Nothobranchius furzeri: one gene and its partners. The protein of the gene in region 2 purifies or fractionates together with the protein of the main gene of each other region. This does not show direct contact. Links are inferred from orthologs where the notes say so. Each region holds a gene or a part of one and is shown on either strand. Other genes may lie near its edges. The genes, in order: mc1r, mgrn1b and ankrd46b.

Evidence for each region.
Region 1: the proteins of mgrn1b (region 2) and mc1r purify together in Homo sapiens (affinity purification with western blotting; 3 studies listed by BioGRID). This does not show direct contact. The link is inferred for Nothobranchius furzeri from reciprocal best matches to the Homo sapiens genes MGRN1 and MC1R.
Region 3: the proteins of mgrn1b (region 2) and ankrd46b purify together in Homo sapiens (co-immunoprecipitation; 3 studies listed by BioGRID and IntAct, counting the BioPlex papers as one, with this or other methods). This does not show direct contact. The link is inferred for Nothobranchius furzeri from reciprocal best matches to the Homo sapiens genes MGRN1 and ANKRD46.

Annotation. Positions count from the first base shown.
Region 1 is NC_091749.1:57,567,799-57,571,260, forward strand, and holds mc1r (melanocyte-stimulating hormone receptor), read right to left. Parts: upstream 1,919-3,462; 5' UTR 1,621-1,918; coding exon 643-1,620; 3' UTR 518-642; downstream 1-517. UniProt on the Homo sapiens protein: Receptor for MSH (alpha, beta and gamma) and ACTH. The activity of this receptor is mediated by G proteins which activate adenylate cyclase.
Region 2 is NC_091745.1:3,806,074-3,809,828, forward strand, and holds the start of mgrn1b (E3 ubiquitin-protein ligase MGRN1b), read right to left. Parts: upstream 2,480-3,755; 5' UTR 2,257-2,479; coding exon 2,169-2,256; intron 1,668-2,168; coding exon 1,549-1,667; intron 1,377-1,548; coding exon 1,288-1,376; intron 1,205-1,287; coding exon 1,058-1,204; intron 597-1,057; coding exon 479-596; intron 391-478; coding exon 324-390; intron 219-323; coding exon 175-218; intron 93-174; coding exon 45-92; intron 1-44. UniProt on the Homo sapiens protein: E3 ubiquitin-protein ligase. Mediates monoubiquitination at multiple sites of TSG101 in the presence of UBE2D1, but not of UBE2G1, nor UBE2H. Plays a role in the regulation of endosome-to-lysosome trafficking.
Region 3 is NC_091742.1:76,204,638-76,208,392, reverse strand, and holds the start of ankrd46b (ankyrin repeat domain-containing protein 46), read left to right. Parts: upstream 1-1,092; 5' UTR 1,093-1,216; intron 1,217-2,846; 5' UTR 2,847-2,878; coding exon 2,879-3,189; intron 3,190-3,755.

The DNA of each region.
Region 1 (3,462 bases), on a different chromosome or scaffold from region 2:
GTCAGTTCTTATTATTGGGTGGGTGGGGGGTGGGGGGCGGGTGCAACCCGCCTAAAAGACATTGAATGCTTTTTGAAAATGGTTTTAACATCACATCCCAAATCAAACATGTGTTTCAGTATCAATAATTCCTGTTTTTGTCACTGAATTCATTATTTCCGTATTTGGATTATGCTATTTGCTCCAGAATCAATAAAAATGTGATAAAGTAATAGAAATGTAAAACCAATTTCTTTGGAGGCTAGGGAGAAGAGTCAGGACCCCTCTGCTTCTGGAGGACGATGGATGGATGGATGGAACTAATTCTTGAAGTGAAAAGTTCTAGCGAACATGCTATTTTTTCTACTTTTTTATAATTTACGCATGCTTTACGCACTTTACGCATGTTTAGGCTGTACAGAAAAAAAACGAGAAGGAAACAGAGCTAAAATGCGAACATAACACTTAAAGTCTCTGTTTGATCCTTTAAACCTGAGAATTTTTTACAGTGCAGCGCTATTTATTATCTTATCCAAATAAAAATTGCACCAGCTCTGTGATGGCGAAAAGCCTTCATAAACTTTTGAGCGCACCATGGAGCTGCAGGTTATTTAAACACCTGTAGAGAATTTACTCCAAATGTCTACTGAAAACCTCAAGGTGTCACACTCCGAGGCACCAAGAACAGAGAAGCAGCTCCTGGAGGGTTTTACGCAGCTCCTGGCTCCGGTACGCGTAAATGAGAGGATCGATGAGGGAGTTACAGATGATGAGGATGAGAAAAAGGTTGAAGTTCCGGAAGAAACAGTTGCATAAAGGGTTGGTGGGACACGCCAGGATGAGGATGAGGTGGAGGAAGAAGGGGCCCCAACATATAATGAAGACCCCTAGCAGGATGGTGAGGGTGATCGCTCCCTTCATGCTAGTTGAGTGACGCCTGCCTTTATTGAATGCAGTGATGCGCCGCGAGTGCACGTGCGCCAAAAGAAACATGTGCAGGTACAGCACGGCGTTGAACACCAGGGTGATGCAGAAAAAGGTGACGAGGCACACGATGACCGCGTTGTCTGTGTAATAAACGATGAAGAGGATGCTGGAGGTGACACTGGCCAGCCACACCACCGCGATGATGATTATGGCGCGCCGTGTGGTCATGATGCTGTGGTAGCGCAGCGCGTAAAAGATGGTGACGTAGCGATCCGCGGCAATGGTGCACAGAAAGGAGAGTGAAGACACTACCGAGCTGCAGATCATCACGTCGATTACGTTGTCCAGGTGGCGCAACATGCCGGGGTGCACGTCCAGCAAGCCGTGATCGTTGAGAAGCATGAATAGGGTCTCCACCACGTTGCTGACGCTGACGAGCATGTCGGACACGGCCAGGCAGCAGATGAAGTAGTACATGGGCGAGTGCAGGTTGCGATTCTTGATGATGGCCCAGATCACCATGATGTTTTCCACCAGGCTGATGAGTCCAAGCGCCAGGAAAAGTTCCTGGGGGATGCGGATCTGAACGCAGCCGAACGAGTCTCTCTCCCCTACGGTGGAGTTTGTCTCGTTGTCGTCCAGGTAGTGCCCCAGCGGACTGTAGTCCATGTGGCGGATGGAGGGAAAGTGCTGGGAACTGTTGGCCATGTCCATATTTGAAAAACTGAACAGAGTTCAGATTTCAGTGAGGTATAGAAATTTCATTAAAGCAGGGGTCCACATCTGGCTCAGCTGTCTCCCAGTCAACGTCCAAACAAGTGTGAAACTCCTCAGTGAGCCAATTGTCCAGAATCCTTTAAACTTTATTTACATGATGTTCATTTGATGTCCCTTTGCTGTGGAAACGTCTAATCAAGATGGACGGGTCCACGTTAAAAACGCGTCTCCTCGTTTGCTGATACGAAGTCCATCAATAATCCATCCTGTTTGTATGGACTTCCCGTTCCGAACCACCAAAACCCTCAAACCGTCCAGAGCAACGCGGTGGCCGAAAACAAACGGAATGCTTGTTGGGTTTGGGGAATTGAGTTTTTTTTTTTTGAGCAACTGAAGAAGATGCTGAGTGACTTCATCAAACTCCTCCTCCTCCTCCTCCAGCGCAGATCCATTGGACTTTGGTCCTGTCTCAGCGTGTTTTTTTAATGTATTTATTTATTTATTTTGTTGAAGCTTGAATCACTAAGACTTCACTAATTTCTTTAAAATGTTAATATTGTATGAAAACCCCTAACAAAGTGTCTTATGTAAAATTAGTGGTGGGCGTAATGCAATTTGTGTGTTTGCATGTAAAAGCTGTTATTCTCTGTGTCATGCTAGATTAAAAATTAAAGCAGCACACATTAAAACCTCCCGAGACATAATCCTAATCGGGAGAAAAATGTTTAAAATAATTTCATTCTTGAATTTATATTCTTGGATTTTTGTAAACCTGCACTTTCTGCTGCTTGCCTTTATTTCCAGTCATCTCAGAGGTCAAATTGTTCTAAATGCTATAAAAATAGACAATCTGGTGATTCAAAAAGCAGCCAGTCGGACAAAATTTATTTTAATCTGGACTGAAGGGAACTGCTGGAACCTGATAGTCACGCACAACGCTTTTGGGATAAAAAGTCCCATTCTTTAATCTAATTTAAACAATAAGACAAAAACAGCTCGTGTAAATTCAGATTTGATGCCAACATTTAAATGTTATTTGAACAGAAACAAACATGTGTAGATTAGCAGAAAAAAAACAACTAAAAAGTATCACAAATGCATCTGATATTCAGAAAAGAAACAAGACACCGCCAGTATAAGGTGCATAATTTATGAAAATAAACAAGTTAGACATATGTTACACAAAAATAAATTATATTTAGTTGGCATTAATACAATTTTCATTTTAATGCATTAAAAGTGCAATTCAATGAATCTAATTTGATAATTTCTATTAAATTATGCATAATACAGATAGTAATAAAAATAACTGTTTGTGAATGTTTAAACGCGAAATCACAACAATTATGTGATTCAAAGCTCTGCGTTATTTTGAATTTCCTTTAGTTTTTGACAGAAACCCTGCATTGATATTCAAACCTCATCCAAATCATTTTTCATCATCAATGATCAAATACAGTATATCCTGAATCCTCAGCAGCAGTTATGATCACATCCTAAAGTCACCAAAAACAGTAATCTTAGTAAATCTGTGGAAAACTGCTATAGCTCACCAGGCATCCTCTAAGGCCCACACACACACCTCTGTTGAGTGTGAAAGTGTTTTTCTAGAACTGCAGAAGAATCACATGAAAACTTCCTCCATTCTCTGCTGTAGCTCCGGGTGAACAACAACAACGACTTCATTTGGCCACCAAGGACAGTCACAAGCATCATGTGGCTGCAGATAGCAAATGGCTGCTGCTATAAGTGCTGAGGGGATCCGGTTCCCGTGGAGCGTATGCCCTCTGTTTGACTGGGAAGCTTTTATCATTGACCGTCATTCTCTAAAATTCAACA
Region 2 (3,755 bases):
CCAAAGTGACTCAGAAAATATTCAAACAATATTAGTAAACTTACTATTTGCTTTTGCTTCAGTGGTTTAACGGAGAAACTGCCATCAACATGCTGGAGGGATAAGGAAATGTTCGAGTTCATATGAAAGCTTTATATACATCATATGTATTTAAGTTATAACAAACATACGTACTCTTTCAAATGCTGCCAAAAGTATGTGAGCGTGTCCAAGACAATCTTAAAAACAAACAAACAAACAAACCAACCAGCGGCGTTAGTGTGGAACATGAACCTGTGCAACCATTACAGAGACTTCAGAATGAACGAGTCATCCTAACACACCGTCTCCTTCGTCAACCACAGCTTGGATGACCATGGGGAACACTCCTCGGTCCAGGTCAAAATTCAGCTTCAAAGAAAAACAAAAAAAGATAGTATATTAATTCACACACCCATTTGGAGTGTTTGTGTGCAGTAGTGACAAACTCTAAACTTACATCCTCCTCTTTCCACTCGCTGAAATCGATTTTAAATGATGGCATGGAGAACTGCTGGCTCACTCCTCTCTTGTAATGCACAGTTTCAGAGACCATGGTGGGATCTTTTGGGCTGTACCTAGAACCACAAAAGGCAATCCTGTAACAAAACCTTAACTGCGGTGAAGAAATCAGCACTGATATGAAAAAACAAAACAAACAAAACAAAACAAAAATTGCAACAACGTCTGCTCATCAGAAGATGTTAACTTCAGCACAGACTTTAACTTTCATCTTCATCCCAGTCTTATCAGCGGTATCCATGGAGACTACTCGTTGCTAAGGACCCACTGCATCTATTCTAGACTCTGTGCTCTGAGGCTTGGAGCTCACCACTTACAAAACACAGTCTAAGTGTCTCTGGCACAACGCTTCACACTATAGCAGCAGCTGTGATGTACACATGAGATAGAAGCAAATCTAACCATGTTACAGATTCTATATAAATGGTTTATTTTGTTTCAGACAAAAGGACTCTCACTATGTTACCGTTAGACCCAAACCGTGTCAGGTACGTGAGTTACAAGGTGAAAAGCTTACACGGCCATCCCATTGGAGAATTCCTCAAACGCTTGGCAGTAGAGGGTGATGGCTACCCGAGCGTCAGCGTCAAAGGTAAACTCCACACTGTACTGAACCTTCGGTTTTACACCCTCCTCCCCTGAGGTGTCAGAGTCATCTTTATACCTGAAATCAAGAAGTTTAGAAAAATTATCAGAAAATGTTTACTTTTAAATGCAGGTAATGTAATACTATGTCACAGCCTTTACCTGACTAAACGCAAAGAGTCCTTTCTGATGTTAACCAGGCTCCTGAGGGTTTTCACGGGTTCGTGGGGTGCAGGTGTCACATACGGGAACTGGTGAAACAAAAAGAGAAACAACTGAAATAGATTGAAATGGTTTCATAATAAAAGCTGTTCTTGAGAGGATTTGGAAATGTGTTTGGCAAGTACAAAATATACTACCTACGTAGTACATTATAGTATAGTATAATGCTGGATCGTTAGTTAAGCGAGCATTGATTGGTACCTGCACAGGCCTGTTTCCAAGAAAATTCAGGTCCATGTTTTCCCCAAAGAGGTATCCCTCTGGATGTGGCGTGTCAAACTTCTCTCCTCCCATAAAGAAATGGCTGGCAAAGTAATTCCCTGGAGAGAAAATAAGTTTATTAACTGTGCCAGAAGCATGACATGCAAGACGCGATTTTAGCAGAAAGACACTTATTACAAATGAGTCCTTGCAGTAGCCGGAGTGGAGTGAATCCTCCCGGTGTATCTGTCACACTGGTTACAAGTGAATGTTTGAGGATTTATTTATTCATGCGGGTTACTCGTTCACCCAGGTGATGTTTCGATTACCTTTACTTTCACAAGATCCAACTTCTGTGACAAATAAACAATGCTGACTCTCACCGACAGGGTTCGAGTCATTAAAACAGCTTAGCAAACGCGACATTTTTCAGCAACATGTGACATCCTGACATTTAAACCTGACCGAGCGTTCATAGACTGTTTATCTGCTGGTCCACGATCAATCACATACAATACGTTATTAACCCGATTACCAAAAACAGAAGTCGGCGTCTTCGACTTCGCGTCATTGTTTATGAAATAACTAAGTCTCGACGCGTGGCCGTGTCTATCACTCACCAGATTTCGGAGGAAATCGATAGGCAGAGTTGGCCTGGATATCGATGTCCTCCACTCCAGCAATCCTGCGGCTCAGGATGGACCCCATCTTTTTCTGTTGGATCGCTGGTGTTCGCTACAGTTAGCTGGCGGCTAACAGCGCGTCAGCACATCAAATTAACCCCGACGTGAGACTAGACAGAAATCCAAATAGATACAGCACCCACCAGAAATAAAAGCTGTGGTTAGTTCCACATTTCCCGAGCTCCGTTTAACCGATAGTCGTTTAACGAAACTGGACACAAATTGAGGCTCGAGCTGTTGTTTTTGCCAGAGACGTGCTAACGTAGCAAGAAGGCGAGCTGATTGGCTGTCTCTGGGCTTGTCCAGGAAATGAGTGTGCTTGCTTTAGGTAAAGGCATCTGCCGGAGAATGTGCGGAGCTAATTAAGACAGGCGCGCATACCTACAATAAAAGAGGCCAGCGCAAATTAATTGAGCTTATAAAATCAACACACCTTTAAAAGCATAAAGTTCACTTCTCGTTTCAAACAAAAGAAGAAACGCTAAAATTGTACATTTTAGCTACGTCGAGCATAACGAGAGAAGCCACAAAAAATGAATCAAGTAGGGCTCCTGCAGGCAGAGCCGGATTAAATAAATGGACTACACTAGGCAGGCTGCATTTTTTGGGCCCCCCTCCATCGATGTTATTTAATGAATTGAAATCTGAAACTTACCAAAGTTACTAATAAAAGTTCATTCACATTTTACATAGCCTAATCTTTGGTTACAAATTGGTGGTTGGTATGCCAAAATAAGTCATGTGTTGTATGTTAAACATTCTATCAGACATTTTTTTAATATTTTATCCATTGGGAGAGTCATTGTTAAGGCAGTAGTACCAGCAAATAACCACTAGATGTCGTTAAACTATGTAAACAGAGCAAATGTTTCTCTTATTTACTCTGTTTACATTTAATTAAAAAGATTTTCTGCTAAATACAATAGCTTACAACATTTATAAATGTCGACAAATTAATCACATGATGGTGGAAAGGCATTCAAGAATAAATAGATTAATTTGAATGTACTGAAGCATGTTTAAAGGCACAAAAACAAGCTATAAACACGCAGCCTAAATGATTACAGTATATTTTATAAAGTATAAATTTTATACAATCCATAATCTTAAAAGAAAGTATTTTAATATAATGAAAACGTTATCTTAAGTTTTGATCTTGCTTTATGCTCATTCAGGCTGTTATTGCCTCTGCTGAATCTGAAATTCTGTGTGAATTTTCTGAGTGTGAAATTATTGTTTGCTATGCTATTTGAACATTAATAAAATTATTAGAAAAATAATTAATAAAACCAGCAACACTTACCAAGGAAACCATTTAGCATTCTCCACTCCGGGATAATCTTCAGCCTTCCAGCATCACAGGCCTAAATCACAGCAGAAACACGTCTTAAGAAATGTTCCTTGTGTGGCAAGGTGGAGAAACGAGGGCCCGGGCGGGATTCGATCCCCAGACTGCCAGGTGAGAGTCACGCACGCTAACCAGTCAGCCAAAGGGACATCCTCCTGTTGGCCTGACGGTAACAG
Region 3 (3,755 bases), on a different chromosome or scaffold from region 2:
ATTACATCCTAAAAGGTAAAAGGTGCTGTTTGCTGCATTTTTGAGTATTGCTAACATAAATCAAGCAATCTCGTCACTGATTTTCTCTTACTATCTATAAAAAAGGAAAGCTCCAAGTTCAAGTTACATTTATGGTGTTTTTCTTGTCTGTGATGTCTGTACATTTCATGATCCATGGTGTCTTTTCTCCAAATACAGCATTAAAATCTGCTTTTTACTCTTATGTGCATTAAAATAGCACTTTTCCCACTAAACTAACTCCATAAGGACCTTTCTGAGAACAATACTGCACTGATGCAAACTGACATGGGCTAAAACTTATGACCCAAGTAATAAAACTCCTTCTCTGTGCTGACAGGTCGTCAATGTGAATATAAAATTCTTAGCACATTAAAGCAAATGTTTATAACACAATGAGCTTGTTTCTGTTTTTGAGATGTCCTTGAACAATATGGAACACATTTAGTATTTTATGCCTTTGAATGATGAAAATATCAAGTTTTCTCTTTTTTCTTTCAATAAAGTTGTGAAACTGGTTCCATAATTCTGGGACAATTAAAAAACTCCTGCATGTAACCTCTATGAACACTGCACCTGCTGATAGCTCTCATTTTTCACTTTTCACTGGTTTTGCTTGGTTTGTATTTGTTGTTTTGTAATCTAGATTGTAATTATTTGTACTTGTATAATAATTACTATTTCCTGGTTTCATTTACTGAGAGAGGAGCAGGTCAGAAATTTAACTGTACATGAAATTTTATTGAAAAATGGCTTCTTCTTTTTTTAATCATTAAGAATGAAACTTATTTTACTGTGTTTCTGATTACTATTATGTTCAACAACATCCTGTAAACTGACTGAAGTGGAGGAAAAGAAAAGCTGTTTTCCTCAAAGAGGATTCATTAAAGAAAGATTTGTTCTCACTTACTTTGAAATAAACTTTAAAAACTATGAAATGCTTTTTTTTTATTTACATGTTTGGGTTCAGTCATTTTATGATTAACTGAATGAAGAATATTTGCATTCAGATGTTTTGCTACAGAATGAATGATGATTAAACTGTTTGGAGTTGCTGCTCTACTACCGTCTCACCGGTAGGTGGCGACAGACACCAAACAAGCTTCAGTTCAGAACGATAACACAACAGGCTAGCAGCGTTAGCGTATCTCAGAGCGAGGTGCATTTTTTTTCTTCTAAATTGGAAACATTTTAACAGGTTAGTGGCACAACTTCCAGCTTAAAGGGAGTCTAAACTAAATGTTTATGATTGTGTGAAAGGGTGAGTTTGTGGATTTTGTATTTGTGATGAATGCTAACTGTAGGTCGCAAGCTAACTCCTCCACTCTTTCTCTTCTTAGCTGTTAGTTGATTGTAATCTTGTTTACAATCCACGAACAAAGTATAAAAGGATACATGTAGACATGCCCAACGCAATGATAAGTAAGATGTTCAAAATGTTCCTCCGCGTCAATGTAAAAGTGGAAGCTAGCCTAAAACGAGCTAAGTTAGCACGTAGCGCGTCACAAAAACAAGATTGTGTTTGCACCAAACGAGTCTATGTTTAAATTTTCGTGTGTCTGTATGGTTCGATGTTGAACTTTTATGAAAAAATACTTATTTGCAGCCGCTTGGGTGTACAAAAGCTAATTTGGGTTGCATGATTAAAAAAACTAAACACGTCGTTTCAAGATCAGGGCAGCAGTTTTCTCTTCAGATCCTACATGGAGGTTAAATGTCATGAACTTAAAATGGAAAACTAATTGATCTTCTCAAAAGTACATATTTAAATTAAAGACACGTCCAGTTTAGTCTATTCTCGTTGTGATGCTCAGATGCAAGCGTGATTAGTTGTGCACACACAGCTCAGCTTTACATTAACACGTTGAGTCAGCTGAAGTGGGAACCTCTACTATAGAAAACATCCTAATGACTGATCTCCTTTTGGCAAACATCAATAAAGCCTGTAACTTAATCCCTCTAGTCTTTGCTTAAAACTCGTTATAATCAATCACTGGCATTCTTTCTGATAAATATGACAGTGATTTATTAATCATTCAAGATTATTTTGTTGTAAACCAGAAATGATCCTTTTTCTCTGCTGCACATCTTTAACTTGTGAAGTCAAATAAATATATTCGACCACCATTCTTTATATTTAGCTTGTTTTGCTCCCTGCAACACTAATTTATTGTCTAGAATATTAGTTTCTAAATATGGTTTTTCCAAACTGACTCGCAAGGAGGGTTAAGTGATGAATTTTATGACTTTACCCTTTTATTTAAAATTTATAAATCTTTTGGGTTTTCTCATTTTAATTACCTTTCATCTATTTTGTTTTTATGATGATTTTCTGACTTTAAGATTTGTTGTTCTTTGTGAAGCATTTAGTGATTTTTTTTTCCCCCTGTGGTAATTGTTGTATAAATAAACTTTATTTACTCAAGTGTCTTGCTCAAGGACACGACTGCAACAGACAGGGCTCGAACTTGCACTCCTCTGTGTTGCGTTGGTGAAAGACCGCTATGAACGTTCACTGGTTGATGGGTGTGATTGTGACTCGGATGTTTGTTCAGATATGAGTGTGTGTGTGTGTGTGTGTGTGTGTGTGTGTGTGTGTGTGTGTGTGTGTGTGTGTGTGTGTGTGTGTGTGTGTGTGTGTGTGTGTGTGTGTGTGTGTGTGTGAAGAGCAGTTAACTGGTTCTGCTTGATGAGGTTTGGGTGTGAAACCACTCTTGCTCCTTCCACTATCAGGCTGTTATAAACAAGTTTGTTTGCCAAGAGAGATTTCTTCTGCCTTTGCCTTTCACCACCATCATTTTTTCTAAACTTGCCTGCTGTCCTTTCAGGTACGCTGGAATATTCTGACACCCACTCGGACATGTCCTATGTCTTCATCAATGACTCGTCGCAGATCAGCGTGCCTCTCCTGCAAGCCTGCATTGACGGAGACTTGCTCTTCGCCAAGAGGCTCCTGGAGACAGGATGTGACTCCAACATCCGGGACAACCGGGGACGCACCGGACTCCACCTAGCTGCCGCCCGCGGGAACGTGGAAATATGCCGCCTCTTGCACAAGTTTGGGGCCGATCTGTTAGCTACGGATTATCAAGGAAATACAGCGCTGCATTTGTGCGGTCATGTGGACACGATACAGTTCCTGGTGTCCAACGGGCTGAAGATCGATATCTGGTAGGTGTCTTTAGTGTAACCTGTTGTCTTTTCTGTTCCTTTGTCTTTTATTCTGTCTTTCTCAACTTAAATTTTACTAAACTTCGTTTAACCATCCTTCTGAATATTTGGAAATGCCTCCAAATCAACTTTTGCAAACCACAGTCAGAATGTGGCCATCGGAAAGACAAGTGAAGCAAACACACAAGGAAGTGGCCAATTATCGGTGCAGCTGTTTGGAGAATAAGATGCTTTAGATACAACACTTCTGAAATTCTCTCGTGAGATTTGACACATACCTAGCTGAATTTTGATTCAGTTTCCCTTTGTCTACTTTATCCTGCATAACTGGTTAAACATGTGGCAGCTTGGGTTAGGGTACCACGACTAAGAGTTTGAAATGACTATAAAAATAAAGTTAAAATATATTGTGCTTTTTTTCGTACTATACAGTACTTACTGAACTTTTCTCAGTTGTCAGTGTCTAGGTGTTATCAGTGAGTTGGGCTAAGACTTCTTCTCGCTCATCATCAGTCATCATCATCAGGGCAGTTGCTAGGTAGAGTTGTTCCTTTAAGCCTGTGTAC